3 linked regions of the Tamandua tetradactyla genome follow. The protein of the gene in region 1 purifies or fractionates together with the protein of each later gene. This does not show direct contact. Links are inferred from orthologs where the notes say so. Each region holds a gene or a part of one and is shown in the gene's direction. Other genes may lie near its edges.

Region 1 (9,801 bases):
GTGCTCTGTGCAGGATAATGCCATTGGGCTCATCTCCTGTTTCCTGTGTTTCTTCGTGCCGTCGGGCTGGGTCCTGTCACACCTGGAGAACTACAAGAAGCGGGAGTGAAGGGGGCCATCCTCTCCTCATCCTGTGACCTGACCACCCCCCTGCCCATTCTGATCCTGTCTCCTGCATTCCTGGCTGACCTTCCCTGGATCATATCATGTCCTTCAGTTGCAGTGGCCTCTTCTGCAACCACGACCTCTCAATGTCTCCATGGGGACATCTGGGACCATATATATATCAGTTTAGAAGGCCCTGCTTGGTGGGGTCCCCGATTGTAACAATAAAGTCTATTTAAACCTTGCTTCAGAAACTTCTCTTGCCTTCTGTCTGGGCTCCTGCCTCCAGACTTGCGCTGAGGATGGTGTTGGGTGGGGGTGCGTCTGCCCCGTGTCTGTCGTGTGCGCCCCAGTCATTCTCCCTGCTGCCTGGAAGTGGTGCCTGCTTTTGCACGCTTCCCATCAATTAAACGTTTTCTGGCATTTGTCATAGGGCGACCTTTCTTGTTGATCTTCTTGTTCATCCTCTCTAGCCCTCTTTGTTGGTACTCAAGAATCAATGGCAGTATCTTGCTTTTGTTTTAATGTCAGCTCCAGGGTCCCTTTCCTTTTAGTGCTGTCGCCATAAATGCTATGGACTGACTGGTCTTCATTGTCCTCCCTGCCTGCTTCCCTTTTCCTTCCCCTCCTTGGCTTGGGGAGTTTGCTGCTTCTTCATCCCCAGAGACGCTTCCTCAGTGATTCTTACTGAGTGGTTTCTAGGGGTCTGGGGGTGCCTCCTTAGCTAGGATGGTGCATGTGAAGTACTCCTAGCTGAGCTGGATTCCTGGCCACCAGTGTCCAGAAGGAACCCTCAGATTGCCAGGCCCCACCCCTGGTAGAGGACAGGTTTTAGCTCTCCTTTGCATCCTCTTTGTAGGGGTGACTTGGTTGGTTTCTGAACAGAGATTCTTTGTCCTGTGACACTTAAGGCTGCTAGACAGCGGGGGCCAGGACAGCAGACAAATTTGGCAGGTGAGAGCTGCCAAACATGGTTTAGGACATGGTTAGCTCCAGGCCTTGGGTGTCAGAATACATGTCTTCCTACTTCCTTTTCTGCAGAGGTCTTGCCCCTGCTATGTGTCAACAGAGCTGCATATGGACCTTGCTTACCTTCCCTTTGTCCAATCTCTCCTGGCCTCTGTGTGGTACCCAGTGGTGAAGCCTCTGGGACCCAGGGATGCCCTTGAGACCCAGTGCCTAGTATTGTGGCAAGTCCAGCTCCTGCCTAGCTCTGCTTCTCTGAGGGTAAGGAGCTGGTCCTCCGCCTCCTAGGTGACTTCAGTCTTCATACAAACAGACCTCTATTTCGGAGGCTGAATGGACAGGGCCTAGTTGGAGGAGAGGTGAGAGACTGCTTGAGGCAGGAAGGGGGCTGGATGCTGGGAGGTGTGCACAGGTTGGAAGGTTGGTCAGTGTAGAGGGAAAGCCTGTGTTGAGTCTGGGGCAGGCTGAGCCTGGCTGGGCCTGAGCTTGAGGTATCTCCCTGCCACCTGCAGGGTCCTTCTGCAGCTCCCTTGTCTCTGGGGAAAGGAGCCACCTCACACCTGCCTCCCAGACTACAGGGTACCCTTTGTTCTATGCTTCACTCTGGGGGGCTTGCCTGTTCATGTTAGCCCCTGAGTGCCCCCTGCCCTTCTTCCCATGCTTGACCCTGGCCTGGCAGCCCCTGGCTGTCAAGGGGTGGGGGGTGGGGACCACCATGCCCAAGCCTCCACTTTTGGAGCAGAGGCCCCTGAACTTGGCCCTGGGTTGGCCCAGGGTTGTTTTACTCAGGCTGTGGGCACAGATCAAGCATTGCTCTCACAGCCATGGGGCTGCCACAGCAAGAATGTGAAACCAGGAGAGGAATGTGTCTTGAATTTCTATGGTAAATTCATTGCCCTCCTGGCCAAGCCACATAGTTCTTCTGAGCTTCAGTTTTCATGACTGTAAAATGAAGATAGTATGGTTGGCAGAAAAGTGTGGCACCCCCACCCGAAAATGTCCATGCCCTAATCCCCAGATTTTGAAATGGGGAGATTATCCTGGATTATCTGGGTGAGCCAATCTAATCACACAAGTCCTTTAAAGTGGAAGAGGAGGCCTGAAGACTGGGTCAGAGATGTGATCTGAGAGGGACATGACCCACCACTGCTGATTTTGAAGATGGAGGAATGCCCTGCCTCCAGAAGCTGGGAACAGCCCTGAGCTGACAGCCAGCAAGAAAAGGAGCGCTGCAAGGAACTGAATTCTGCCACCAACCTGACGACCAGGAAGCGGATTCTCCCCTAGGGTCTCCATAAAGAAACACAGCCTGCCAACACCTTGATTTTCGTCCAATGAGACCCATATCTCACTTCTGACCTCCAGAAGAGTAAGGTAATAAATTTGTGTAGTTTTAAGCCACTAGGTGTGTGGTGACTTGTTACAGCAACGACCAGGAAATGAACTCATCTTTCTCCTGGTGCCCTGAGGCTCCTGCACAGAGACCCCCCATGGAGACTCAGCAGGTGGTCATGTGAACTGGAATGTAAGACACTGAGATGGGTGTCCCAGCAAGGAGTTTGGGTAGGGGCCTCTCCCTTTGCTGCCTCTGCCCCTCCTCTGTTTCCTGCCTCTGCCACCTTGGATCTGGCAGGATAGCCTCACAGCCCAGCGGCGGCCCCAAAGTACACAGCCTGCTCAGCCTCATCATCCCGGCCTCTGCAGCCATCACACCCTCCCTAGGCTGTGATTTGGGGGCCGTCTGCCATGTGAACAATCGCGAGTCCCTGCAGCAGCAGCTCCAGAGGTTCGTCTGTAGGCTGGGCATGTCCCCACTCCAGCTGTCCGAGCAGCGTGTGACTCCCACGCCTGCCCTGGCGAGGACTGCCTAGCCCCTTACCCTTTGAGGCTTTCTCCTAGCCACGGCCTTCCTGTGAGGACTGTGGCCGTCCTAGAGTCCATGGTGTCTCTGGGTGCCTTGGTCCCCCCAGCTTGGCCCCTCTCCTGGGAGGGGGAAGAGGTGGGATGGGTCTGGAAGCCATGTGACTCTGTGCCATCCTGTAAACTCCTTTGTGGCTGGGTCCCCAGATGGGATGTGGAGGGGTCTCCCTCTTCCCAGCCTTGCTCTCAGGCACGGATGCTTCGAGCTCCTCCCCTCTCCTCGGGGACTTTGAGGTAGCCTCCTAGGACATCAGGGCAGGGCCCTCTGTCCTACACCATAGGCATGCCTATGTAGGTACAGTGGAAAATAAAGTCCTTGGCTGCAGCCTGTCAGCTTTGTGACCATACCCGACAGCAGGCTGAACCCAAGCCCCAGCACTGCCTGTTTCATTCAGTACATACCCTCAGCAGCCATGGCCAGCAACATTTGACCATTTCTGGATTGGCACTTTGGGAGGCAGAATAGACTCCTGGAGCTGTGTCAGTGACTCCTGGCAGATCTGCCGTTGGGTTTCAGATTCTTGAGGATAGAGAATCAATAGCCTAAAACATGGTAAAAGTTACAGGGGAGTTGGGGTGGGTGTAAGAGAACAGTTCTTAACCACCAAATAAATTGGCACTGGGCAAAAGTTGACAGTCTTGGGGCTGGATGAAAAAACCAAAACTTTTCTCTGGCCATTTTCTTTCCATTCTGCCTGACAAGGAGGGGGAGGGCTGGGGAGTAGATGGGAGAGAGGACCCTCATTTATGGGCCCTTTGTACATTGAGGGTGTGTGTCCGTTCTTCAAGCCCCAGGCCCACAGGGGTGGGAAGGAGGCTTTAACTTGTACTGGCAGCCTGGCTGCACGCCAGCCCTGAGCCGCAGCTGGGAATCCTTTTCACTCTTCAAAGCAGCTGTGGTCCAGGTGCCCACAATTAGTCCCAGCCCCACTCCTACCCCTGTGGACTCCATCATCAAGGTAAGGGAGAGGGAAGGTTGTCTTATTACTCTTTTCAAGATTTTAAAAGAGCCAAATAGAAATCATGTTTTTTCATCAAGCATCTTTGCTCTTATTTTGTTAATACTGCTTTCTCTTCTGATCTACAGGTCTGATAGGCAGTTACATATTCCATGGTTCAAACAGTGAAAAGGCATTGACAGATGATAGGCATGGGATCCAAATAGAGTGGACCTTCTGCTTTCTTGACTTTGGAAGCAATCCCCAAGGCCCAATTAATAAACAGTAATTTATGATGTTGCTGGGACACACATTTGGCATTTGAAACACAGCTGTGAGAAGGACACGGTTGGGCTGGGTAAGCAGTGAGCCAGGCACCAAAGGCACCTCCTCCAAGGCCAGCCATCATTCAGGAAATCTTTAGTTACATTCCACTACTGTAATCCATGGATCTACGGATCTGACTGGGACTGAGGCCTCCTTGAGCACTAAAAGACCACTGTCACTCCCCTTGGTAGTGAAAAGTTAGGAACCAGAGCCCCAGATTGCAACCTTTCTAAATAAGAGCATCTTCAGCATTCAAGGCCTTGCTTATTTACTTATTTATTTTTTCATTCAGGAGGTTTATTGGGCACACAGGAACAGTGTAGGTAAGGAAGTGAAGGGAACAGGATGGGGTAGAGAGAGAAACTGAACTGGAATATAATTGAAACAGGCCTTAGTACCATGGGGAGCTCTGAAGCGGGGATAGGCCTTCAGAGAGATCCTAAAATGAGGCCAGGGGACCAGGTCTTCAATCACTATCACAGGGCAGGTATCAGGAGGCAGGATCATGGGGGAGCAAATTCCTTCCCTGGAGGGCAATGCTGGGGAGGGACTCAGCTGTGCACCTCCAGCATTGCCTTATTTTGAAATTTTGAAATAATTCACAGGCTATTGTAAGAAATAAGACAAGAAGATCTCATGTACCCTTTACCCCCACTGGTAACATCTTGTATCTTGCAAAACTATAGTATAGGATATACCAGGATATTTTTCTGATACAGTTAAGGAAGGGAACATTCCCATCTTCACAAAGATCCTTCCAGTTCCTTTTTGTAGCCACACCCACTTCCCTCCCGCCCCCTCCCCCCTCCTTAACCACTGGCCATTAATTTGTTCTCCAAACTTTGCCTTTAAAACGACCTTGTTTTCTCTCCAACCGGAAAGGTACGGGAGCCCTAAATTAGGTCCCCGGGCTCTGGCCTCGATACCAAGGGCCGAGAGCAGGACACCAAAGCCGGCATAGAAAGGGAGGCGCGGTGAGGGGCAGACACACCGCTGACGTCCTGGGGCTCTGAGGGGCGTCCCAGGATTAGCGTGACTTCCCATCTCCCCGTCCACATGCTCCCTCTGCAGCTACAATCGCATGCTGGCACCCGCAGTAGGAATCTCGTCTTCAGTGATTTAAATGTCATCTTCTTCCTTATCTCAGTAACAGTCCGCGTTTCAAACTCCAGTGAAAAGCAAACTGAATTGGTTCCAGGAGGCTCTTATCACCATCGGAAACTTAGCCTGGGAAAGATGGTACAAGCAAACATACGGGGTGGCGGTACGGGCAGGAGGCGGTCTTTCTTTTGCAGGGCTTCGGGCCTGCACGCCTGCGGTTGCCACGCAGGACCTGGACGCCATCACTTGACAACGCCCGAAGGGACCTCGTTGCTAGGAGTGTTGCCAAGGAGGGGCTACCGAGAGAGGCTCACTTCCGGGAGGAGGGCGATAGATAACCCGGAAGCGGTCGCCAGTGCGGCGCTGTTTAAAGATGGCGGCGGAGGAGCCTCAGCAGCAGAAGCAGGAGCCGCTGGGCAGCGACTCTGAAGGTAACGACGGAGGGAAGGATGTCCGTCCCGAGCCGGCGGGGGCAACCGTGGGCCAGCCGTTCCCGAGTAGGTCGGAGCGGATGAGGCCGCCGCTGGCCGGGGGCGGAGCGCGCAGATTGCCCCCTTCTGTGCTGCCCTCCCCCCTCCCCTTCACAATGGAAGAAGCCGCTGCTGCGACCCCCGGGTGGGCGGGCGGGTCAGGCCAGCGGCCCTTCCCCGTCACGCAACCCGGGGCGGGGCCTCCGCCGCCCCGCCCCCGCCCCTCCCCCTCCCCCCGCGGCGGGCCTCAACTGTACACTGCCTGAGCCCTCCCGCCCAGGTCTTGGCCGTCCGGCAGAGGCCTAGGACCGGCGGAGCCGCCCGCCTTCTTCTAAGGCAGCCTACGCGGCCCGGAGGGTGTCAGGTTATCCCGGGGAGGGCTGAGCTGCAGAGCCCAAAGGACCAGGCGGGAACCTGGGGTTGGAAGGGCCTGCCGCGGTGTCTGTCTCTTAGGGCCCCGACCTTCGTTTTCTGCAGAGACCCTTTTCTGGCTTTGTAGCCTCCTGCCGCCTGCCAAGGCATTGTTTTCTCCGACTCCTGAGGAGGTGGGGGCAGCATTTCGCACCTCTCCCTTTCCCTTTTCCACCTAGGAGTTGGGCTCTGGGAACTGAGTAGCCAGCTCACTTGGATGGGAGGGCAGCAGTGTTGCAGGCCAGTGACCAGCTGAGAATGCATAATGGTCAGGCCCCAGAGGGGCCCCCAAGTCATTCAGCAGGCACACGCCCATCCTAACCAAACACTTGAGAGACTGAGAAGAAGAAATTCAGGTCTGCTGGCTCCACAGAGTGGGGTCCACAGGATGGACCTGCCCAACTTGATCACACTTAACGGGAACTTCTGAGGTCCCATGTACTCCTTATGACAATTCAGTGAGGGGAGAAGGTGGTGGTATTAGCCCCATTTTACAGGTGAGGCAGTTGATTCTGCAGTGAGGTAATGGGGTCATTCTGGTGAAGAAATCAGACTTTGGGAATTAAACCTGGGTTTGACCAACACAGGTTTTTACTAGTTGTGATCTTGGGCAGGTTACTTCACCCCTCTGCATCTGTTTTGTTATCTGTAAAATGGGCACTGTTAAAGCTACTCAGGCTGCAGAAGGGGGAAGGGTGTGACCAGGTAGAATGCAGGCTCATAAGAAGCAGTAATCTAGCCTCAGACTCTGCCTCCTTCTCCCATTTTACTTTCCCCAAGAGACCGTGTCTGGCCCCAAGAGCATTCTCATGCTGCAGGGAAGTGATGTTAGAAATTAGAGAGGGAGGGGGTGCCAGGTCTGGACAAACTAACCTTGAGAACAATCAGTTCTGTCTTATTTTAAAGATGAGACTGGGGCCCAGGAGGAGAAGCAGCATCACCAATGTTATAATAGGACAGAGTTGGAGTGGAGCAGGGTGTAAGAAGCATGCCTCTATACTTCAGGCTTCTCCTCCTCCTCTGGCCCCAGCTGTCCAGAGTGGAGGTGGCCAAGACCCACTGTAATCTTTTTTTTCTTCCAGGTGTGAACTGTCTGGCCTATGATGAAGCCATTATGGCTCAGCAGGACCGCATTCAGCAAGAGGTGAGGGTCTGTGAGGCAGTGGCCCTTTGTGCCCCTTTGCGTGAATGCCCAGGCTGGGCACGGTTTTAATTTCCTGCTGCTGAAACAAATACCAGCCAGTGGGTTGGCGTAACAACAGGAATTTATTGGCTCATCATTTCAGATCCTAGAAAGTTTGCTTCCTCCCGGGTCAGTATCTTCTGGCTGGCCGGCAGTCTTGGGTTCATGGCAGTACACATGGTGGCATCTTCTCCTTCCTCTTCTGGGTTCTGTTGACTTGTAGCTTCTGGCCGTTTCTTCTGGTTTCTCTTTTTGTGGCCTCTCTATAAGGCTTCTAGTAATAGGATTAAGACCCATCCTCTTTCAGTGGGCTCCACCTTGACTAAAGAAACCTGATCAAAAGTTCCTGTTGACAATGGGTTCACTCCCACAGGGGTGGATTAAGAATGCAAACATGTTTTTCTGGGGGTACACAGCTCCAGGCCACCACAGGTCTGTTGTCTGTCTCCACTTGGAAGCTCTCTTCTCTTCATGTTGTGCTAGGTCTTAGGTGGTTATGGAGGTTACTATGCCATTGGGTGACCAGCCAGCACCCTTTGTTTAGGTGCCCTGGCTGTTAGGCATGGATCCCCTCCACCTGACTGCCAGAGCTTGATGGATTTCCCACCCCCTGCAGATTGCTGTGCAAAACCCTCTGGTCTCAGAGCGCCTGGAGCTCTCGGTCCTATATAAGGAGTATGCCGAGGATGACAACATCTATCAACAGAAGATCAAGGTGGGGGCTGCCCAGAGGGAGCAACAAGAACACTGGGGCTGGGGGCTGGAGGGTGGTTCCTCCAGACTGTGCCTTGCTGGCCCTGGCTCCTGAGAGGGTACGGTTTTAGAGGAGACCTCTGGTTGCTTTTTCTTAAGTGGCAGGGTCTGGTATAAAAAGATGTCGGTTCAAATCCTGACTCTGCACTCAGCAGCTGTATCCTTGGCAAATCCTTTAATGTTTCTGAGCTCAGGGGTCCTTGTCTATAAAATAGGGACAATGAAAGCACCTGCCCACAAAATAGTTGTGTGAGGTTTAAGGGAGATGCTAATCGTGTGGTGCCCACCAGGCCAGGGATGGGGTGGGACACACAGGGTGTGGTAGCAGGGGTGTATTCCACAGCCTACCTCCTGGATCTTAATGGAGAGGCAGGCAGCAGGGGGAGAGGGGGCCCACAGACCTTTGTCCAAGGCCCTGCTGCATTATTTACAAACTGAAGGAAGTCACTTAAACTCTCAGCTCCTTTATCAAGAAGCTCTTAAATGTGACAATGGGACTATATGTAAACAGTATCCAGTAGGCACAGAATAGGGCTTAATGAAAGTTACTTCTCCCACTGCCACCCCCAAAATCGGAGATGCTTAGAATATCCCACCAGGAAGGAGGGACCTTCAGATTATCCATTTTGGGGACCAGGCAGGTAACCAGAAGATTTGGGGTGGTGAACACCGGGCATCACAGCCTCAGTAGCAGCCAGACAGAGTGAAGGCCGCTGGGGCAAACTGGAATGTTCTCACCTGCCTTTCTGTCGTTGCCAGATCTGTTTTCAAAGAGAAGCCAGAAATAATGATTTTTATGTGAAATCTTCTGACTTCTAACAGTGGGCAACTAATTCTAATTTAAAATGGTGTGTGGGTAAAACACACCATGCAGGTAAAATATACCTGCAGACGGGAGCCAGCCGAATGTGCCTCTGATCCTCTTGAATCCCTTGCTCAGAGTGTGTGTGACGTACCCGGGAGGCTTATGGAGAGGTGGAGGCCCTGGCCTTGAAGCTGGACAGGCCTGGGTGTGAGCTTGGGCAGACACAGACCTTGCAGCCGCGGTGGTTCTCTTATCTCTGGGTGGAGAGGTCTTTTCCCTCACAGGGCTGGTGTGAAGCTTGAGGGCGATGGTGGTGGTCCTGGCAATGGTGAGTTCAGTGTCCGGCGCACAGCCATGGCTCAATTCAGCTGTGGGTTACCCCCTTCCCCGTGTGATGGGTCGGTGGCATGAGACCCCCATTTCAAGGCCTACCCATCACACTAGACCCACCGCCCCTGGCAGGGTGGGCCTCTCAGACGCCTCCCATTGGTTCACTCACAGCATGTTTGATTCTCCACTGCGTGTTGGTGTGGGAAAGCTGCCTTGGTGCTGCCCACATCCCCGCTGCATGTGCTGGGTCTGAGCCCACCTTTCCTTCCTGTGAGGAGAGACAGGGCTACGAGGAGCCTCAGCCTGGCTGCAGAGCCCCACACAAACTCCTCGTCTGTAAGACCCAGTAGGACGGTGGGTAGCAGCCTTAGTGAAGTGCCTGGTACAAAGTAAGTGCTCAGAATTCTTTTAGCTTTTGTTTGTAGCAACAGTGATTTGGGTTCTTGATACCAGTTGTGTGCTGTCCATTTCACCGATATTTACTGAGCAGAT
Region 2 (10,532 bases), on another chromosome or scaffold:
AAAGAACATTCCTTCCTTAGCCAATAGCTGTTCTTTGACCATGGTTCTAAGAGAAGCTTGGTGATAAAATGTGGTCTATTTCAGAAATTAGGGTTCGAAACCAAACACCCTTAATTTATTTAAATGTATTGGTTTATTGCCCTTTAATTTCTCTAAATACTTTTGGACTCCTGTACATCTAGCCTATGCTACCTTTCGTGCAAATTGGCTCCATAAATAAATTAGGCAATGTAAAGAGATTATTTTTCTTGTTATTGTTCTAATGCACTTCCTTCAGTCAGGTTTGCATTAAAAGGCAACTTAATTTATTCATTCATTCAGGAATTATTTACTAAATATTAAATGCCAGGCCCTATACGAAGCACAGAAAACAGATACAGCCCCATCCTTATTTTAGCAGGGGGAGAAAGATATTAAAGAAATAATCACACAGATAAATATTTACATGCAAACTATGGTAAATATTATAAAAAATAGATAGGGTGTTATGAGCTATAACAGGTTTACCAAATTTATATTGCAATGTCAGAGAAAGTTTCTCTCATGCTTATGAACAAGGGTGTGAAAAAACTGTTAGGTTTGTGAGAACTTTTTGACAATACCCTTTATGACATCTCTATAGGAGCTGGTGCTTTGGGAAACTGGACTACATGCCCTGGTGGCTATGACAGTATAGTGGATTGGGGGCAGAATCCCCAAGTTCTGCCTCCAGTTCTGTCAATAACTATCTTTAAGACTTTAGGGAAGTCATTTAGAGTTTCTTAGCCTCAATTTCCTTGGTTAAAACGTCTAGTGCTTCAATATCCTTTCTTTGGGTTACAAGTACTGCTACAAAGTGGTCATTACCTTATGAACCCAAGTCAGAGACATCCTACTCTGCCACTACTGAGTATGTATTTGTATTGAAAACTACTTATCATTATTTTTTTACCCAGTCACATAGCTCTGTGAGTTCTTTTGAGATGTTATAATTCAGAGAAGTTAAAATCATATGTACTTTGACATTTTATCAATGTCAAATTATAAATTTTATAAATTATGACAAGCTTCTAAAACAGACCCATGAAAAGCTAAAGATAACTAACTCTCAACGTAGAAACATACCCATTTTTTTAAATTTGCCTTCTTTAGTCATTAAGGTATTCAATTGGAATGTAAACTTAGATAACCATTTGTGCAATATAGAAAAAGTAGCCAGAATCATAAGTAAACTTGTACTTTAACCCAAAATCATTCTACTTGTATATTTCTTCCAAATCTCTTATATTTATTCCAAAAAAACATATTGTGCAAACAATTTTGTTTTCTAAGCAGAAGCATATGCTTAACCTAATTTTATTTGAGGTGCTGTAAAGCATCTCAGAAAAATTTAAATGATATAATGTTAAGTAAAAATAGTTAAAAAGGTGATGTTCAATTTCTTTTTTTAGTCTTATTAACTAAGCAGAGCATAAGTGGATCTTATAGAGAAGGATTTACCACTGAACAGGGATTGGTGATAAAAATGATTGTTACAACATTCACCATTTTATGTTCATATATCATATTCCATCAAGTGAAAAGACTATAATTTACTAAAGCATAACCCTTATGTTGGACAGTTAGAATGGTTTCCATTTTTACGTGGTATAAATAACATTGGGATAAACACTGTCAAGCACATGGCATTCTTTAATATTTTGGAATATTTCCTTAGGATAGATTCCCAGAAGTGGAATTACTAGGTCAAAGGTTATGAACATTTTTATGACTCTTGAAACATATTGCCAAATTGCTTTCCAAAAAGGTTATATTCATTTACAATGCCACCAGTGATATAGAAAAGTGCCCATCTCATGATCTTCTCACAGGTATTTGGCATTATACAGTTCTTAGATTTTCAAATTTTGTGAGCAAAATGTAGTATGTCATTATAATGCAAAGATGAATACCTTTTCTACGTACAGTTCAGTTGTGTTCAATTTCCAACCTATATCTATAGGTTTGATATTTTTATAAGGTATCTATAATGGTTTGATATTTTTATAAGGCTACACAGAATTATATGTGATACATATATTTTCACTGTACAAACAGTTTTGTCTAGTGTGTGTTCCAACTTAGGGTGTGTGTGTGTACGAATGTTGGGAAGCATAGCCGATTTTTGTACCTGGTTAAATACATGTTTTCTTCTATGGCTTTTTTTCTGCTGCTTTTTAGCATAGGCTATCACAAACTCTCTCTATTGATTTTAAGAACTCAATCATATTTATTCTAATAAAATTTTAAAAATCTTAAAAAAAAAAAACGATTTGTTTTTACCAAATCTACATCTCTACATTTATTCACATATTTTTTTCTGTGTTATCAAAACAGAACCTGCTCATTAATGAAAAATATGAAAATACTGAATATAAAAAGAAAAAAAAGGTTATTCATGGTCCCTCTAAAATATAAGCATAGTTATCATTTTGGAATATTTTCCTTTCAGACATTTTTTGTTTTGCTAATTTTAACGATATAGTGTTTATTCACTCAATAAATATTTATCGAGCACTTACTTTGTGCCAAATTCATTGAGCCAGCATCTGACTTTACAATAATGAAAATGCACAAATTCTACTCTCACTGACGTGTTATAGTCCATTTTTTATGACTATTGCATGCTTCTCATATGTATTATTTCCTTAATTGCAAATTTTATTGCGTGGGTGAATCTGTTTGTTTAATCCTTTTCCTATAGAGGGACATTTACAGATTTTCAATGTTATTTTTTTCACATTCAGATACATTTCTAGTAATGGAATAACTTGGTTAAAGTTTAAGGCTCTTGGCAAAAATTTCCAAATTGCTTTTCAAGAGGGTTGGACAAGGGCTATTTTTTGCCAGCAATTATTACGATCATTAGAAATTGTTTTTGCTGTTTTGTTAAGTACGTCATTTTAATTTACATTCTCTGATAATATGTAAGGCTGAATTTTTTTTACAATGTTAAATAAATGCATCTCTTTTTGAAATTTTTCTGTTCATGCCTTTTTCCCTATTAAGGTGCTCTTGTTTTTGTTTCAGTGTATCAAGTTCTATATGGAATGAAGATATGACCCCTTTTTGGTATCTACCCTCCCTCAGGAGAAAAGCAGAAAATGATAACTGAATCCAAGAAGTCAAACTGAGGCTTATGCATCTGTATAACTCCAGGGCTCAGCCCAATGCCTGGCATGTGACAGGCTTTCCACACATGACACAGTAAAGGAATACTAGATGTCAAGCCGCACTTTGAACTCTGGTGTCCAGAGACACTGAGACAAACATTGGCAAAAATGGCTTTTTAAACTAAGACTGGGCCAAGAACTGCCTTTCTAGTAAACCAACCCAGTTTTTATGTGTAGAAAGAAAAATGTTGCAGTCAGAGGACAAAAGAATACAAGTACTAGGGAAGCAACGGAAATGGCCTAAAAAAAGAAGGGGGTAATATAAAAGGATATTAAGGAAAGTTACTGAGTGGCAGGAATAAATAAAAACATTCTGAAATTTAAAAAATAATATTTATTCCACATTCATTGTGTAAGGTCTGTTGCTGCCCATGGCAAGCGATTTTAAAAAGATCTGTAGCTCCATCCTAGCTTACACAGTCACTTAGTTGAGAAACTTCTTAGACAACTCAAATTATGTATTTCTGTATATTTTCTGTAGACACACATATACATGCTTCAATGTATGTAAAACTCCGAGATCTACTGAAAGTCTCAGGAGAAAGCATCTCCTAAACTCCTAAAGGATTCTGGAGTCTGCCTTGTCCAGAACCCAGCCTACCTTTATAATAAGGACAGGTGCCTTTGGTTACACATTCGGTGGGAAAAGGGAGAGTAGGTAGTTGTGGCAATATCTGTTAGTATTGTCTGTTACCTCTGCCCCTCTTTTCAGGTTTGTGATGGAGAGACTGGCAAGATTCCATTCCAACACAGGAGACTGAGAAAAAACAACTTTCTTGTGTGGCTGGTATCCACATTGTCTGGCTATTTTGAGGACCTTATGAGAAATTTTTAATTATATGCTTTATGAAATAATTTGCATTAGGTCAAATTTGTATGCCCTCAGGAATGCGTATAATCATGATCCCCAATTTTAAGGATTGACACTGCAAAAACAAGAGAGAGCTAAAATAATTACAGAACAGGGTGTCCTTTGAGGAAGAAGATCACTTTAGAAACTACTTCTAATTGATGAGATGCTTCTGGTCAAGGTGGTGATGTCATGCTACCTTGGAGTAGTGCTGTGATTTGTAAAGAACCACTTGAATTTACCCTGTTAGGGCAATGAAGGCAATTGGGCACCATTTATCAATATCAATATCCACTATGGTGGATTCCATATTTCATTCCATTTTCCCATCATTTAGTAGTTGAATAAATGTTGAGTGGAACTTTCATCATGAGTCCAAACTGACTGAAGAATTATGGCATTTTCCAGCAAAAGTGGACTTAGAACCTTTGATACAATCTTCTTTTATATATGAGAAAAAGTAAATTGGAACAAGTAACTTGCTTGAGGTCACACAAACTATTAAGGATTAGAATCCGGTTCCTTTGCTTGGAGCCCAATATTATTTCTTCTGTAAAAGATGCCACCAAACACAGCTAAACATCTTTATCTCCCGATCTCCCTGCCCCACCCAAATCCGATCAGCAATTGGCCCTTTGGCTTGAAAGCTATTTCTGTAATAGTAAATTTCCTGAAAGAACCAATTTTTAACATATAATTTTCCTTTAACATCTCTCCATTCTGAACAGAGCAAAGCCCAAATGCCAAATGGGCTGGCTTATGCTATAGAGTCACATAGGGTAAAAGTTGGGGGCAACCTTCTGTCTATATTTTCATTAATAAATTGCACCCTTCGATCCAGCCGAATTGAAATGCTCGTCCATACACACGCCATGTTCTTTCTTGAGACCTGTTGCTCATCCTAACTGGAATAGGAATATCTTTCCTTCTTAATAACCTAGTAAGTTTTAATAATCCATTCCTCTTCTGAATTGAGAACTAGCACAGAGGAGAGGAATCTGGCTTTAATCCCACACAAAATAAGTGAGTGTATTTGGTATGTCCAGCACCTGGTACAAATCCCTCAACAAAGTTCATGGAATGACTGTGTCTTTGGAAAATTACAGAAATGTAACTTTACAGGTCAGAGTTGTAAGTATCCCTTTATCAAAACTTTTCTATTTAGAAGAAAAATGAGTAAAAATGTTGGCTCATGCAGTCTTTTTTTTTTCGTTTCTTTTCCTTCTAATTCCTGTTCTTCTGCTATGACTGCCATTCTCTCTGTGAACTCCACATTCTCCCAGCACTCGGGCCCCTGGAAACTTGTGGGAGAGGAATCCGCAAATTCCTTTAGGGCTCCATCACTGGAACAAGTTCTCAGTAGCTAGAGGAGGTCTGGGCTGCAAACAGGAAGTTTTTGTACTTTTGGCTAGTTTGTGCTTAGGGTAAAAACAGAAAAGTCCACCTGGAGACTCTGTAAGACAGAAGTGTAGAATAAAACTAGACTCTACTATTCCCACTACTTCTCTCAGTGTGGACATTCTGATCCAGTCTGTTTCCAGAACTGGTCTCTGGTATGCAAGTCAGAACAGCTTAGCAGCAAAGTGTCAGGTTTGAGCCCTCAAACTCTCCTCCCCACCTTTCTAAAATGTTGAGCAGGATATCTGAAAACTGTTTTGAATTTTTAACTTTTCAAAGCATCCGAAGGTCAGTTTCCTTTGAGTGCGACAACTGCGGGCTTGGGGGTCAAAGAGAAGCAGAGGCTGGTCCCCCAGTCTCGCAATACTTTCTTCCCCACTAACGTCCCCGATCCCATCCTGCCCCTGCCCCTAACGAGGGAGAGAAGGCAGCTATCTTCTGCCTGTCCCAGGCCTCATCACCACCACCCGGAGTCTTCCAGTGCTGAGGGGGGCGGCAGGGGACTCCCTGCCACGCGTCTAGGGCCCTTGCACAGGGGTTGGGGCCCAAGGGTCCACGTCGGCCCCTGAGCAGGCAGAGGAGACAGATCCAGCCTAGGGATGACCACGGCTTTCCCGCCCCTAAGGTACCCTCGCCCCGGGTAGCCCAATGGGCAGCCTCGCCCCGGAGGCAGGCGCAGGCCGGAAGCCACCCCGCGGCTCAGCGGCCCCGCGAGACGGCGCCCGCGCCCCCGCCCTCTCTGGCGCGGACTCAGCGGACTCTGCCGACAGGGGCCAACCCGCCGGGTCCCCGCCGCGCTCTTTGTCCTGGCCGCGCGCGGGCGGACGCGTGCGCCCCCCGGGTGAAGTGAGGCGCGAGAGAAGGCGCGGGAGCGCGCAGGAGCAGCTCGCGCCCGTGGGGCGCCGGGGGCGCGCGCTCCTCCGCCAGGCAAGCAGCGAGCACGCGCGCCGCCGCCGCCCCTCCCCCCTGCTCGGCTCGGAACTTGCTGACTGCGCCGCCGGGAGGAGCTGAGCCGGGCGGCTGCGGCGGGAGGCCACAGCGCGCGGGGGTCTCCCGCGTCCCCTCCGCCTCGTCGGGAGCTCGCGCCCTCGCCCCGCGGAGCTCCCAACACCCCCCCTCCCCTTTTTTTTCCCCGAAGGCGCTGGGCGGCGCCACCCTCCGGCCGGAGCCCGGCACTGCACAACCCCCTCCGACTTTCAATGTTCCACACTCCCCGGCCAGAGCCTCCTCGGCTTCTTTTTTTCCCTCCCCCCTTTCCCCCCCCCCTCGGCTGCCTCCATTTCCTTAAGGAAGGGTTTTTTTCTCTCTCCCTCCCCCACACCGTAGCGGCGCGCGAGCGGGCCGGGCGGGCGGCCGAGGTAAGGCGTGGGGGCCCGGGGGCCGCGTGCGGGGCGGCCGGGGCGGCGGCGGTGGGGGAGGGGGCGGGGGCGGGCAGCTTTGTTCGCGCCGGGCGCCCGCGCCGCCGGTGTCCGCGAGCCGCGGCGGGGACGGCCGGCTGCTCGCATCACTTGGCGCCCGGCGCGGCGAGCGCTGCCCGCGGCCCCCGCGCGGCCCTCCCCACAAAGGGCCGCGGAGCTGCGTGGCCGCCGCCACCGGCCGCGGCTCGCCTCCGCGGGCGCGGAAATTTGTTGCACTTCTTGGGGCTTTGTTTGTTTGTTTTCTTCAGATTTTTTTCTCTCGCTATTTTGGACAAAATGTCCGTCCGTGATGTAAAAATTGAGCGAGGTACCGTGGTGGCATTGGGAGCTTTGCAGAAGGTGGTTTGGATTCTGCTTTTCCCAGGGTGTCAGCTCGGTTTTGGCCGGATGAATCTTTGCTGCTGGCCGTGGAAACGGCTAGAGTAGCTTGTTAGTTGATTTTTAAATTTCTAAGTGTTGTGATTAAAGGCTTACACACACACAAGAGGAATCGCCACGTTAAATAAGCATATGGGCGATTAACAGGGTATGTTTTCCTTTCAGAAAGGGAATTTGGTAGCTTTGACCAATATCACTGTGTAAATATTTAGACGTTATTAGTGACTTTTTAACATTTTTCAGCGCGATCTGTTATTTACAGTGTGTCATGTGTTATTAATGCTCGTTGCCTAAGTTCCCTGGCAAATCTGTTTCATGCCTTCTGAGAAAGTAGACAATTGATAAATTGTCCAAGGGATGGAAAAAAATGTGAGTGGGTTTTTCAACTTGAGTTCGGTAAAAAATCCTTGAACGCTGGCGTTGTGAGACATACCAATTCCCCTGTAACCTTGCTGTACGATGAGATGTGTGAACATTTTTGAAGCTTTTTTCATTAAGTTACTATTTTAGGTGAATATTAAGAAAAGAAAATGCTAGTGGTTTATTCTTAGACTTAACATTTCCCCTTTTTTTCTCTCTCTCTCCTTAAAAGTTTTCCAAGAAATAACTTCACCAAGATGTCCAGTGACAGGCAAAGGTCCGATGATGAGAGTCCCAGCACCAGCAGTGGTAGTTCAGATGCGGACCAGCGAGATCCAGCCGCTCCAGAGCCTGAAGAACAAGAAGAAAGAAAACCTTCTGCTACTCAGCAGAAGAAAAACACCAAACTCTCTAGCAAAACCACTGCTAAGTTATCCACTAGTGCTAAAAGGTAATGTGTAAAAGAAGAATTAAGCACATTGTCAGGTTGTCTTCCAAATGATTGGACACTTCCATTGGTTTTTACATCAGCAGCAGTAGTTCAAAAACATTTACTTCATGATCAGTTTTATTTGCACTTGACACTTGAATGAGCCACCTATACTTTAGGTGGTATATAAACTACCTCCCTCAAATTGTACTTCTTAAGCAAACTTGGTCTGCATTTTGGTAACTTCAGACAGTGTTTCTTAGTAGAGCTTGGATGAACATCCTGACAGACTTTTTAAAGAATTTGTGAAGGTTAATTTGGTGAACCCAAATTAGATGGTGCACTGGGAGTGTTTCGTTTTTGTGAGTCATACTTGTCATGAAATGGACACTAAAAATCAGCATGAACTTAAGTGCTCAGAATTATCACATCTGCTAAAAAACTTTTACATTCAAGGCCTTGGCTGTGTGCTAAAGCGGATTTAAAATTGTCCTACAGATCTGTCTTAAGTTTTATAAACCAGATTTTAAACTATGCATCCCAGATATTACTTTTTATAGTCAAGTTATGATTGTCCCTCTGTTCTTGTGAGGACAAGTAAAACTTGAAAAGCAGCCATTTACAATTTTAGGTGTCACTTGGCTAACAGTGGAAGTTTTCAATAGCCAGATTTTCATCATCCTTTTGACTGGTTACTCTAAAGTGTATAGATATGCTTGACACGTTAATGCTCAGCAGCAGGAGAAGCATTTTGTTGGTTCCAAGTGAGAGGTCATTTGTTCATGTTGATTGATATTATCTGTGATGGACAAAAAAATATTTTGTTAATGGGATTCCATTAGTGATGGTAATTGAATACCCAGGAATTTTAGTAAATATGTGTACAGAGATACATCAGATGTATCTATAGCATTAGCTATTTTGACATTTTGTTGATCACAACTAAAGTGCAAAGAAAATAGAAAAACTGATCAAATATTTCATTCTGTAGTGATTCAGAAATACTCTTTTCTGTAGATTTTTACTATCTTCTATCAATCAGGTATTAATAACAAGAATTCTTTTATTAGATGATAGCAGACTTTGAAGAATTCAATTGTAGTCTTGTTGAACATGTTAAACAAATCTTGTTTTGAAAGCATGTAAAATTTGAATAAAATGAGAGAACTGCTTTTTATCTCCTTAATTCAAGGCTACATAGTATAACTTATTTTCCTTGAAATATTTTAAATTTCAGCACTTTTTTAAGATTAGGGAAACATGCAATTAAATAAGATTGCTAAAGAGCCCTTTGGAAGTTTTTCACTGATGAAAATATTTGTAAATTTTAAACTTTTTTTAGCAGATAAAATATCATCAAAACTACTTCCATGTTCTTAAAATAGCATGTTAATTCTTACCTCAATAAAACTGACTCGAAGTCATTGTCAAATATTCTAGTGCTTTCCCTCCTCCCTTCTTGCCTCATTTGCATATAAGCTTGTAAAGAGAATTTCTTTAGTAAAAAGTGTTTTGAAATAGATTTTATATCCTTTACTGAGTACTAGTGGGGGACTATTTCCCAAATCAGGTTTAAATGTTTTACTTATTTACAGTAGCAAGTGAGAAAAAAAGCTGCAAAGTTTCTGTTAAGGGATTTGGGTTATGCCTCTGAGAACAAAGAGGAAGCAGCCATGTTAGCATTACTGAAGGCAAAGCCAGCCTTGCATTTAACTGCATGGTGGTAGAGGGCAGTGTAATTCCCTGGTTATTCTGTAGACTACCTCAATGCTTTTTGTCTGTTCTCATTTCACCAACAGAATTCAGAAGGAGCTAGCTGAAATAACCCTTGATCCTCCTCCTAACTGCAGGTAAGAAGCACATTTTGTTGTTTTGATTTCAAATTGTGAACAAAATATCAAGAGATTTCACGTATTGTCTGGGTATGTGTGCACCGGTAAGAGGCAGCATTTGCTTCTTTCCAGATTTGCAAGTGGATTAAACAAAACTTATCAAAGGTGAATTCAGTAAATTTGCGAGAAAAAAGTATTTTTTAGCATGTATGAGAGACATTTTTGTGTTTTGAATGTACTGATTTTGTATTTCTCGCTGAGATTATTATGAATAGTACTGATTTTTGTTCTGCAGAATACAGATTACTTTTGTAGAACGTTATATTCAGAGTTATATTGCAAAAACTTAAAACATTTGTTAAGCTTTAAATTTAGTGCTTGTATGCAATCTGATCTGACCTTCCAAATTTAGAAATTGCTAAATGTGATGTTATAAAATGTAAATGCAGTAAATAAGAGTATAGTTGTTTCTTTTTTATTTATTCAGTGACTTGCCTTGAGGACAAATTTTATGTGCTAAGCTAATGGATTTGTTGTTTTCTAGATACTGCACTACTGTAATTATTTACATTTTAAGCAAATGTCCTAAGTACTTGTGAACATTCTTAGTAATTTTGGTAGTAGAAAAATGGGTATGAAAAACAGTAAAGAATAGGAATTTGTGGTAAGAATTAA
Region 3 (10,040 bases), on another chromosome or scaffold:
AAAAAGCTAATCAGGGAGTTTAATTTCCTTTTGGTTACAGGGCTCCAGTTAAAGTTGTTTTTTAATTTGGTGTTATTTCCATTTTATTCTATTGATGTACTCTTCCTGTGAGTCAGAAAAGTTACTTTAGCAACTCTATGAAAATCAGCAATTTCTTGTGTTTCTTAATAAAGAGGCTGTTATCTGATAAGTCAGTTTTTCACAAGGAACTGGCTTCTGCTCAGCTTCCCTCTGTCCCTGAGGTAAGCAAATAGGTGTTTCCGTCTCCTCCAAGTGACCTTTATGCCATACTTCTCTTCAGGAGTGTCTTTAACTAGAGCAGGTCCAGGCCCTTCATTCTTGGGAGTACTAGAGTGAAGGGAGCAGCTTGGAAGGCTGTTCTTCCTCTGATCTGGGTGAATGGGTTTTTTCACAGATGACTCTGGGGTCTGGATATCAGGTGGAATGAACACATAACCTGGACTTTGAAGTGCATGCACTGACAGTTCCCTACTACTTTGGGGGCTGAGCATTGGAACTAAGGGCCTTCCAGAAATGTCCTTTGCCAGTTGACTAGGGCCCTTCTTGCTTAAGGGGATCTCCAGTGTCACTGAACTGGAAGAAGACTGTGGACTCTCAAAGATTAGTTGTGGAAACTTGGAGGCGGCAGATTTGCGACTTGAATGTCTTGCCTGGTCTTGGTGATGACATTTCTGGTTGACTGGATACCAACTTTCTGCTGTCATGTCAAACTCAGGCAATATCTAAGGATTAAAAAAAAAAAGAGAAAGAAGTGAAGAGAACCAACTGCCAAGTACAAACTTGAAAGTACAAACCATAACCAGGAACTGACATCCAGTGACCAGAATCCTATACGGGGGCCGACTTTGGTAATAGAAATAGAAAAATAACAGTTGTCTAGTGGCATAGTAACAGAAAGGGATATGAGCTATGGTAAAAAAAAAAAAAAAAAAAAATCAATCTCTGGCTATTTCCTTATACTTAAGAAAGGAACAATGTCTCTTTGACTTCACACAATATGGCTGCAACTTTTAAAGTATCTTTATATTTCATGAGAGGAGGGACCAACAGCAGTCTTGTTCACATCACAGTCCCCAGAACCTAGTAGAGTGCCTCGCTCAGGAAATAATAAATGGCTGAATGCATGAATGAGGAACTGAGATCATGTATGTAAAACAATCAGCATAGGGTCTGGCACATAGTAAGTAGTCAATAAATATTCACTCTTATTTTCGTCCACAGAACTCTAAAATTTAAGTTTCTTCCACAATCCTCAAGTGAGTATTACAGTTCTTCCAAGCAGTCCTGGCCAAGTTTTATTTATTAGTCACTCTTAACTAAACAGAGCTTATGCTTTTGTCTAGCCCTTTTGTTATACTATTTCCATGCCATATAGTAGCTAATCCCTTATTCCAGAGCTTTTAAATAGTTAAATTATCACATATCCAATTTCTGTGCATTTTGTTTTTCAAAGTTCAATCCATTAAACAGTAAAGAGAATACCTGAGTACTCCACTTCTCATATGAAACTCAGGGAACAATATTCTTGTCATTTTTCTGGCTATTGGGTGGTGAAAGCTTTACACTGAACTCCTTTAGAGGAATGTAGGGGGAAAGGCAACAATTCTAACCAACCCATGTCTCAGTTTAAAACGAGAAAAAAAGAAGAGATGGCTGAAAACAGAAAGAATACAATGCTTCTTTGTCTTTTGCACCCCAAAAATCTTATTCTTTGGAGGTCCTTGTTCAATGGTTAGCATTCTGAGACACCTACTGGAGTAAAAGTCAAAATAAGAATCCTATGAACCTACCCAGGAAGTGATGGTGCTGTGATCAATAGGCTTGCTGGGCACCCGTTTAGTATGGGTGATGGGAAGCTGTGGGGATCCAGAGTGGTGTTTGGGGCCCTCCAGTGGTTGTTGCTGGAATAGCAGTGGAGCTTTCTGGGATCGTTGGCGGCGTTTTTTTCTGGGCGGCATCAACAGATGAATGCAGAACAGTTGGCAACCACATGATGCTGGTTGCAATCAGGTGGGGTGACAGGCTCCAATTCCAACCCATGCCTGTAGAGAAGAAACAAAAGCTGGGAGAAAATAATCCAGATAATTCTGTAGCTCTTCCTGATACCCAGGCAACCTATTGCAACAAAAACTACCACCTCAAAGTCATAGGGACCAAGCTTCCTACACCTATAACAGCAAGCAAAAATACAATGATTCATATTCAACAACATTAATTCAATAAAAATTTATTAAGCACATGTTAATAAACATTTATTGAACACATGTTAAGTACCATACAGGGTGTTGGGAGCCATTTATTCAAGACGCATTTGACTACCAAACACTTGTAGAGCAATATAGAGATCCCTGTTTTCAAGGAGCTGAGAGGCTGCTGAGAGGAAACAGACAACTACCAAACAATATGAGAAAAATGTGTCTCCTCTCTTCAGGGCATGGAAAGGCTAGGAGAAGCAACGAAGCAGGGAGAGCACTCCCAGGGAGAAGAGCACATACAAAGGCCGAGAAACATCAGTATACCAGTATGGGTGGATTCAGCATATGAAAAGCCAAGTGGTAAGAATTGAGGCTAGACATGGTGTCAGATTAGAAAAATCAAGTGTGCCGTGAGTTTGAACTTTAGCCTGAAAAGTCAATGAAGATTTTCAAGCAGAAGGATATGATCATATTTGGCTTTTTTTAAAACCCCAGATAATTCTGAACATACACAGAAGTAGATTGAATAGTACAATGAGCCCAGATATAGCCATCACCAAAGTCTAATAACCAACCATCAACCCACCACAAACCTTGACCCATCTGCAACCCTCTCCCCTAACCCTTATATTATTTTAAAATAAATATGATCTGAATCATCATTATTCCCATTAACACAAAATATATAAGAACATATTAATTCTTTAATATCATCAAATATGCAGACGTCCTGACAGCATTCACATTTCCAATTGTCACATAAATGTCATAATTGGTTTTTGTTTGTCATTTATGACATATCCTGGCAACAAGCAGTATGAAAGGGAAAACAGTGAAAAGAAAAAGGACAAAGCCCCTACCCTGAAGGAACTAACATTTTAGGGAGAACTAAGGAAATAAACACATCCATTTGTTTATTCATTCATTCATTCACTCAATATTTAGCAATGGGTGATGGGAAACTGTGGAGATCCAGCCAGACACTGTTCCAGGTGCTAGAGATATAAACCAGAGAACAAAATAAAATCCCTGCCCTCATGGCGCTACCTAGTGAGGAAGCTATGAGAGGGATGGAGAAAAATCAAATAGGACAAGGGTTTGAGCCTTCTAAGTGTTATTTTAGACAGGGTTGACAAGGAAGGCCTATCTAAATAAGGTGACACTTGAGGAAAGACCTGAAAGAAGAAAGGAGGACAAGCAAGCAATGGAGAAACGTGAGCAAAGGATATTCCAGACTGAGAGAGCAGTTAAGTGTGAAGACCCCAAAGTAAGAAACAGTAAGGTCAGTGAGGTTGGAGATGAGGTAGTAGGAAGTTGACACAAGGTTTTGTAGGCAAGATTAAGGACTGCGGAGTTTATTCTTTGGTGGGAAGCCACTGAATGGTTTTGGACAGGAAAGTGACATAATGTGATTTACTGTTTTGATAACTCTAGGAGCTTTGTGAGAAAAGCTGGGTTGGCAAGAGGGGGTGGAGAGAGAAGCAGAGTCCAGTTAGAGGGCTACTGCTAGAGTCTAGTGAAGATGACAGTAGTAGCGATGGTTGCCTGAGAAGTGCTGAAACTACTGTCTTGATGAAAGTCACCAGCCTAAAATGGGCTCACCACGTTGCTCAGCAATCTACTGTGTTTCTCTAATCAACTCATTCCCTACAAATATCATCTTAAAACTTCCATTTTCTCAAAACTTCTGAACTCCCCTTCCCTCTCAACAGATGACTTTACTTTCTACTTCACCTATCCTCTTCCTTTCAGCAGTTACTCAAGGTGTACTGTCAGTCCCTTCTGCTGTCTAAGGCCTTTCTCATTCTACACTTTCTCAGGCAATGTCATTCACTTACTTTTCAATTGTCACCTAGAAGTAGATGACTTAAATATTTATATGTTCAGTTTAGACTCTCTAAACTCAGGTTCCATAGTTCCCACTGCCTACTGTCTCAAATACACCTCAAACTCATGCTTAAAACTGAACTCATTATTCTCTTCCCCATGCCTCCACTCCCACCCCCACCCCCACCCCCTCACCCCCATAAAAACGACTTATCTTCCGGGGCCCTAGAGTCATTGTTCATCCAGTTTTGCAGCCAGAAAGGTTGACACTTCCTCTTCCTTCGCTTTGCCAACCAACACCAAGCCCTGTCAATATTATCTCTTAAACATATCTTCAATACTGCCTTTCACACACTCTCTCTACCATCCTTCTTCAAGTGCTAACAATTCCAGCTTGGAGAATTGAAATAATTTTAAATAGTCTACCCTAATCCAGTGAAATAATTTTAGTCTACCCTAATCCATTCTGGCTCCCCTCCAGCAGCACCTTTTAAAACTGCAAATCTGACCATGTACTTTTGCTTAAAACTTGTGATTGGCTTCCTTTAGTTCAGGACAAAACTCCTCAGAATGGATAAGCCCCTGCTTCCTCTGGCTCCAGCTTCACCTCACACCCACACTCCATTCAGGTCTCTTAGCTCAAACTCCTCAGGTATTTTTGTACTCAGAATGCTTCTTCCTGACACATGGCCTTTGTACATAGTATTACTCCCTCGGCTTACAGGGCTTCCCTCCTTTCTTTGCCCAAATGTCAAGCTTCATTTAGAAAAATCTTTCCTGGCCTACCTAAGATCTCTTTATTACAGATTCTCCAAGTATCATTTACTGCTATGTATCACTTCATAGGTACACTTCTACATTTATGTGATTATTTGAAAATGCCTAGACCTTCTCCCCACATACACACTCCCATTGGTCTGTAAATTCAAGGGAAGGAAAGAACAATGCTGTCATCATACCCCAAAGGCCTATCACAGTGCCTGACACACAGTAGATGCTCAACAGCTATTTGTTATTAAGTGAAGAAATAAAGCACTTTATTATACCAAGAAACTTGGCTTTGGGAAGGGATGAGGGGATGAGACAGGTCAGTAGTAGATGAAGAGCTGAGGTACGGTTTATGGTGTGTGTATTTTTTTACCATTGGGTATGTTTTTAGTTTTGGAAACATATTCACAAAACATAAAATTTGCCATTTTAACCCTTTTTAAGTACACAATTCAGTGACGTTAATTACTTTTACGACTTTGTGCTACTATCACCACCTTCCATTACTAAAACCTTTTCATTTCTCCAAACAGAAATGTATTTTTTTCCTAAGATGGAATAAAAATGAACAAGATTACATGCCACCCTCAAAGAACTCTCGGGCTAGTCGCGGGAAGTACACGATTGTTAATTGTACGCAAATGGACTACAATGTCCCCCAATAAGGAAATCAGACCTTTGTAAAACAGACCAAGTATCATTTACTGCTATGTATCACTTCATAGGTACACTTTACAAATGGGAGGCAAACCTTGAGGGGAGCAGAGGGGAGAGGGGCGTCACCTGGGGCGATTTGGGGCGAGGGCGGGAGAGGCCAGCCGAAAGGCCGCTGAGGGGGCCGCGTCCCGGCCACCGCCGCTTCCCCGCGGTTCCGCCGCGTCCCAGCCCAACGCGGGAACCCCGCTTTTGCTCTCTCTCAGCCCCTCACCGTGAGTCACCCCTCGGGCGGACAGCCCTCTCCGCTCGAGCCGCCCCAGCCCAGCCTTACCCGCCCGGCTGCTCCCGGCCGCCGATCCTCTCAGGCGACCGGTCCTCTCCGGCCGCGGACGCGTTCGAGCCCGGAACGCGGAGACAAGAACCGGCGCCGATTGGCGACGCTCCGTCACGTGACCACAACGCTCCGCCGGCGCCAATTTCAAACAGCGGAACAAACTGAAAGCTCCGGTGCCGGACCCCACCCCCGGCTCCCGGCCCGGGACCCCCTCCCCTCCCGGGATCCCCCGGGATTCCCTACCCCTCCCGCACCGCCGGGGACCCGGCCGCCCTGGCGCGAGTCCCCGTCAGGGAGCCTGGCTCAGCCCCCAGGTTGGAGGAGCCCGGAACCCGCCCTAGGAGCCAGACTCCTGTAGTAGCTGCAGCTGCAGTCCCGAGGTGAGCAGGGGCGGAGGAATGGAGCTTGCAGAGGCGGGAGCGAGGTCTCCGGCGCGGCTCCCGCGAGTCCTCCGGGTCAGGAGGTCAGGGGGGCTAGCAGCAGGGCGCGGGACAGGAGTGGATGTTTGGGGACACCCGAGGAGGAGGTCGGAGCGAGAGTGCAAACTTTTTCTGCATCCAACCTCCTGCCCTTGGCCTTCCCTGGACGTTTGACCTCTGCACCCTGCCCACGGACTCGGGAGGGCCGGGGTGGTTCACGTTCTCAGCGGGGACCGTCGGTAAGGCTGAAGACTGAGCTTTTTCTGCATTAAGTGAAAGACCAACTCTCACGCACATTCCCCTGCTCTCCAGGCGCTCTCAGCACCAGGCAGCGCTGCCGGTACCCTACCCTTTTGCAGAGCCCTTTCTCCTGGGTCTTAAGAACCTAGCAAGGTTTCCTTGGTCAGGGTGGGGGTGGGATCAGAGGGGTCATTTGGGAAGTCTCCCAGGATGGAGTGTTGTCAGCAAAAATAGAGGCTGGTCAGGGAACAGGAGAGAAAATTAAGTCTTGGACCGGGAAGAAGATGGGGGGTGAAGGGGAGATATAATATCTACTGATTGATAGGGGGAGGGAGGAGGCCTAGAGTCTTAAGGGGAAAGTAAAACTGAGATTTGAAGGCTGAGGAAGCCTAGATCTGAAGGAAGGGGAGGAGACAGGATGGGGAGGGCCTGTGAATTCTAAGCAAATGTAATATGTCATCAAGTGTGGCACTACTTTTTAGGGAGATAGCAGATGACCTAAAAAAGAGACTGTCAATTCCTCTGCCTTTTAAAATACCTCAAAATAGAATTATACAATTTTATATAATGGAACACTATTCCTTGTAGCTATTAAAATCAACAAAGCAAAATGTCACCTTATGTGTGAAACTAAAGCAAAAAATGTTTGTTACAAAAAAAAAATCAATAAAGCACTTTTTTTTTTTTTTTAGATAAAACTACTTTCCATAGTATTATAGAACCACCATATTAAATTAGTGATAACATATTCTAGGTGTCAGGAGTCAAGGGTTATAGTTTTGGTTCTGGAAGAGAAATTACGCAATAAGATGACATGCTTCTGAAAGCTAAAATATGGATAAGCACATGAGGTGCTAAAATGCTCTTATGCAAATATTTTGCAAATGGAGAAAGAAAAGTATTTCTTTTTTTATGAGAACACAGACAATGTGTTATAGCCCATGAAATGAATGTACAATTTGCACAATTTTACCATGGGCCTTGAATAAGCAGCTTCCCTTTTATCTGAGGTATTGTGAATGGGAAGATGATTCTGGTGTTACGGTGGCATAGTGCAATGTATAGTATACCTTTCTCCCCTAATTCTGTGGGCACCGATCCTATTACTTACAAAGGAAGGTGGCATAAAGATATAAAGGCTCTGCCCTAGAATGGATTATGGGATGAGTCAGAGTTCCTAATTACTATATATCCTCCTATTCTGGCATCTTCCATTCTATTATTGCAGGCAATAATAGAGATTTCCTCCTGTTTGTAGCTGTCCCACTTATTTATGGGGCCAAGAATTCTTAAGCTTCCAGGAGGTGATCTTTGGCTATTTCAGACTAAATCCAACTTAGTCCTACTGAATTGTTCAGTCCTTTTGAATTTGCTTCTGTGTCCTTCAGTTTTAGCTTTCTTTTGTCAGTGGCACTTCTGTCCCTACTATCATTGGTGAGTCCAAAAGGTCCAGGAAGCTTTCATTTTCATACCTCTGGTTGCATGAAGAGGAGCACCTCTCTATAAGAGAACCTCCTTTTCAGCTTAACAGATCTCTGACATCCTACTGCTTCTTGTACATTTTAGGGTCCCTGCTTGTGATTCTCAATGGAGAGTAAAAGCACAGATTAATAATGAAAACCAGCCCCCGTCGGCCACTGATTCTCAAAAGACGGAGGCTGCCCCTTTCTGTTCAAAATGCCCCAGGTGAAACTTCGGAGGAGGAACCCAAGAGGCCCCCTGCCCAGCACGAGCCTGATCAACCACAGGCCTCCAAGGAGGTGGGAGAACCCTACTCTTGCAAGTTTCCAGCAGGGATCAAGATCATTAACCACCCCACTATGCCCAACACCCAAGTGGTAGCCATCCCTAACAATGCCAACATCCAGAGCATCATTACAGCATTGACTGCCAAAGGGAAAGAGAGTGGCAGCAACGGGCCCAACAAATTCATCCTTATCAGCTGTGGGGGACCTCCTACCGACCCACCAGGATCCCAGCCTCCTGCCCAAACCAGCAATGATGCCAAGAGAACAGAAGTGATAACTGAGACCCTGGGACCAAAGCCTGCAGCGAGGGACATGAATCTTCCTAGACCATCGGCAGCCCTTCCTGGGCAGAGATGGGAGAGCTATGGTATGTGGGCTACAAGGCAGAGGGGTGAGGAGTTCAGTCTTTCCTATCTGGTGACAAGACCCGCAGTCAGCCACATTGGTACAACCGACAAGCATCCAGCCTGAATTGTGAAAGCTTATCATTATCCTAAAACCTTGACCTGAGTCCTTTGGGCTCTGTTGAAAGGGCTGCAATTATAATTTAGCATTTTTATTACCATCTTCATATTTGAAAAGGATTTGCTTATTATTTCTATTTATTCTTTCCATTGATCCTATAAGTGACAATCTTTCTCCATCTTAATAAAAGAGAAAATTGAAGCACAAGTAGGAAAAATGACTTTCCTTGTGCAATACTCAGTAACTCTTTTGCATGGTTGCCTTCACTAACCTCTTAGGCTCAGTTTGGCTCAGATTGAAATGCAATTTGAACTATGCTCCTGGGGCACAGTAAGTGAGAGCCATGTTTGATTCAACATGCATTCCCCATCTCTAAGGGTACAAATCTTGGATGGGTGATCCCTAACCACCAATACTGGTGAGCTTCTCAGGAGTCTGGTCAGACAGCTAAGTGGAGTCTTGGATTGTTTCCTCTCTAGCTGCCGGTGAGGCCATTGGCTGCCCTCTCGACAACAGCTTGACTAATATCCAGTGGCTTGGAAAGATGAGTTCTGATGGACTGGGCTCCTGCAGCATCAAACAAGAAATGGAGGAAAAGGAGAATCGTCCCCTGGAGCAGAGTCAGATTAAGGTGAACTGCTCTATGCTCTAGGCCACTCAGTAAGGAAGTTAAAGCCAGTGCAGGGAATTTCTAGGAAGGGGAAATGGATCCAGCAGCCTGCTGGAGCAGAAAATCCAAGTTCTGGTATCAGCCTCCATTTAGTGCCATTCTGTATAACTGTTGAGCTTCTTTTCGCTCTGGGATCTTTTTTTTCATCTTTGAAAATTCCTTGAGGTCAGAGATCCTCTGGCTTACTCTGTAGCTTCATCAGCACTAGGTAACTAAACCCTTAGTAGGTATTCAGAAAACAATTAGGAGGTCTTGGTTTAAACTTTAAAGAGTTAGTCCAACAGTATGAAAGGAATGTAATATCTCTAACAAGATAGTTTTATTGGAAGATATAATATAGGTGGCGGATAAAGTGAATTAGATATGAGTTTGATATGTTCCCCATCAGTCAAAATTTATTTGACCCAATTGTATGATTGGAGGTTGTTTTTCACAGCTGCCAACATCATACATCTAGATTCTGTTACTTATACCCTTTAATTATTCATTCAACACTGTTTAAAAATGAAAGCTTACAAATATGTATACACACTAAAAATTAGCCAAGCTGTGCACTTGAGATTAGTACACTGTATAAAGTTACGTCTCAATTTTTTTTAAAGTGAATCATCAGATGTTTGCCTAAGACGTCACCAAATATGTGCTTGTCTGTGCCAGAGTCTTGGGACCATGTCTCTTATACAAATATTGAAATGA

What was found. The genes of interacting proteins can lie anywhere in the genome.
Region 2: the proteins of OTUB1 (region 1) and UBE2E3 purify together in Homo sapiens (affinity purification with mass spectrometry; 3 studies listed by BioGRID and IntAct, counting the BioPlex papers as one, with this or other methods). This does not show direct contact. The link is inferred for Tamandua tetradactyla from reciprocal best matches to the Homo sapiens genes OTUB1 and UBE2E3.
Region 3: the proteins of OTUB1 (region 1) and FOXM1 purify together in Homo sapiens (affinity purification with western blotting; 4 studies listed by BioGRID, with this or other methods). This does not show direct contact. The link is inferred for Tamandua tetradactyla from reciprocal best matches to the Homo sapiens genes OTUB1 and FOXM1.

Annotation. Positions count from the first base shown.
Region 1 is NC_135335.1:10,630,114-10,639,914, reverse strand, and holds the start of OTUB1 (ubiquitin thioesterase OTUB1), read left to right. Parts: upstream 1-5,662; 5' UTR 5,663-5,730; coding exon 5,731-5,788; intron 5,789-6,054; exon of another isoform or gene 6,055-6,372; intron 6,373-7,320; coding exon 7,321-7,382; intron 7,383-8,037; coding exon 8,038-8,136; intron 8,137-9,801. Other genes in the region: COX8A (cytochrome c oxidase subunit 8A, mitochondrial), read left to right, coding at 14-109. UniProt on the Homo sapiens protein: Hydrolase that can specifically remove 'Lys-48'-linked conjugated ubiquitin from proteins and plays an important regulatory role at the level of protein turnover by preventing degradation.
Region 2 is NC_135329.1:153,624,113-153,634,644, forward strand, and holds the start of UBE2E3 (ubiquitin-conjugating enzyme E2 E3), read left to right. Parts: upstream 1-6,424; 5' UTR 6,425-6,797; intron 6,798-7,055; exon of another isoform or gene 7,056-7,196; intron 7,197-7,234; exon of another isoform or gene 7,235-7,383; intron 7,384-7,827; 5' UTR 7,828-7,852; coding exon 7,853-8,046; intron 8,047-9,824; coding exon 9,825-9,875; intron 9,876-10,532. UniProt on the Homo sapiens protein: Accepts ubiquitin from the E1 complex and catalyzes its covalent attachment to other proteins. In vitro catalyzes 'Lys-11'- and 'Lys-48'-, as well as 'Lys-63'-linked polyubiquitination.
Region 3 is NC_135333.1:65,020,031-65,030,070, reverse strand, and holds the start of FOXM1 (forkhead box protein M1), read left to right. Parts: upstream 1-5,932; 5' UTR 5,933-6,182; intron 6,183-8,027; 5' UTR 8,028-8,074; coding exon 8,075-8,576; intron 8,577-9,153; coding exon 9,154-9,305; intron 9,306-10,040. Other genes in the region: RHNO1 (RAD9, HUS1, RAD1-interacting nuclear orphan protein 1), read right to left, coding at 192-743, 1,812-1,979. UniProt on the Homo sapiens protein: Transcription factor regulating the expression of cell cycle genes essential for DNA replication and mitosis. Plays a role in the control of cell proliferation. Also plays a role in DNA break repair, participating in the DNA damage checkpoint response.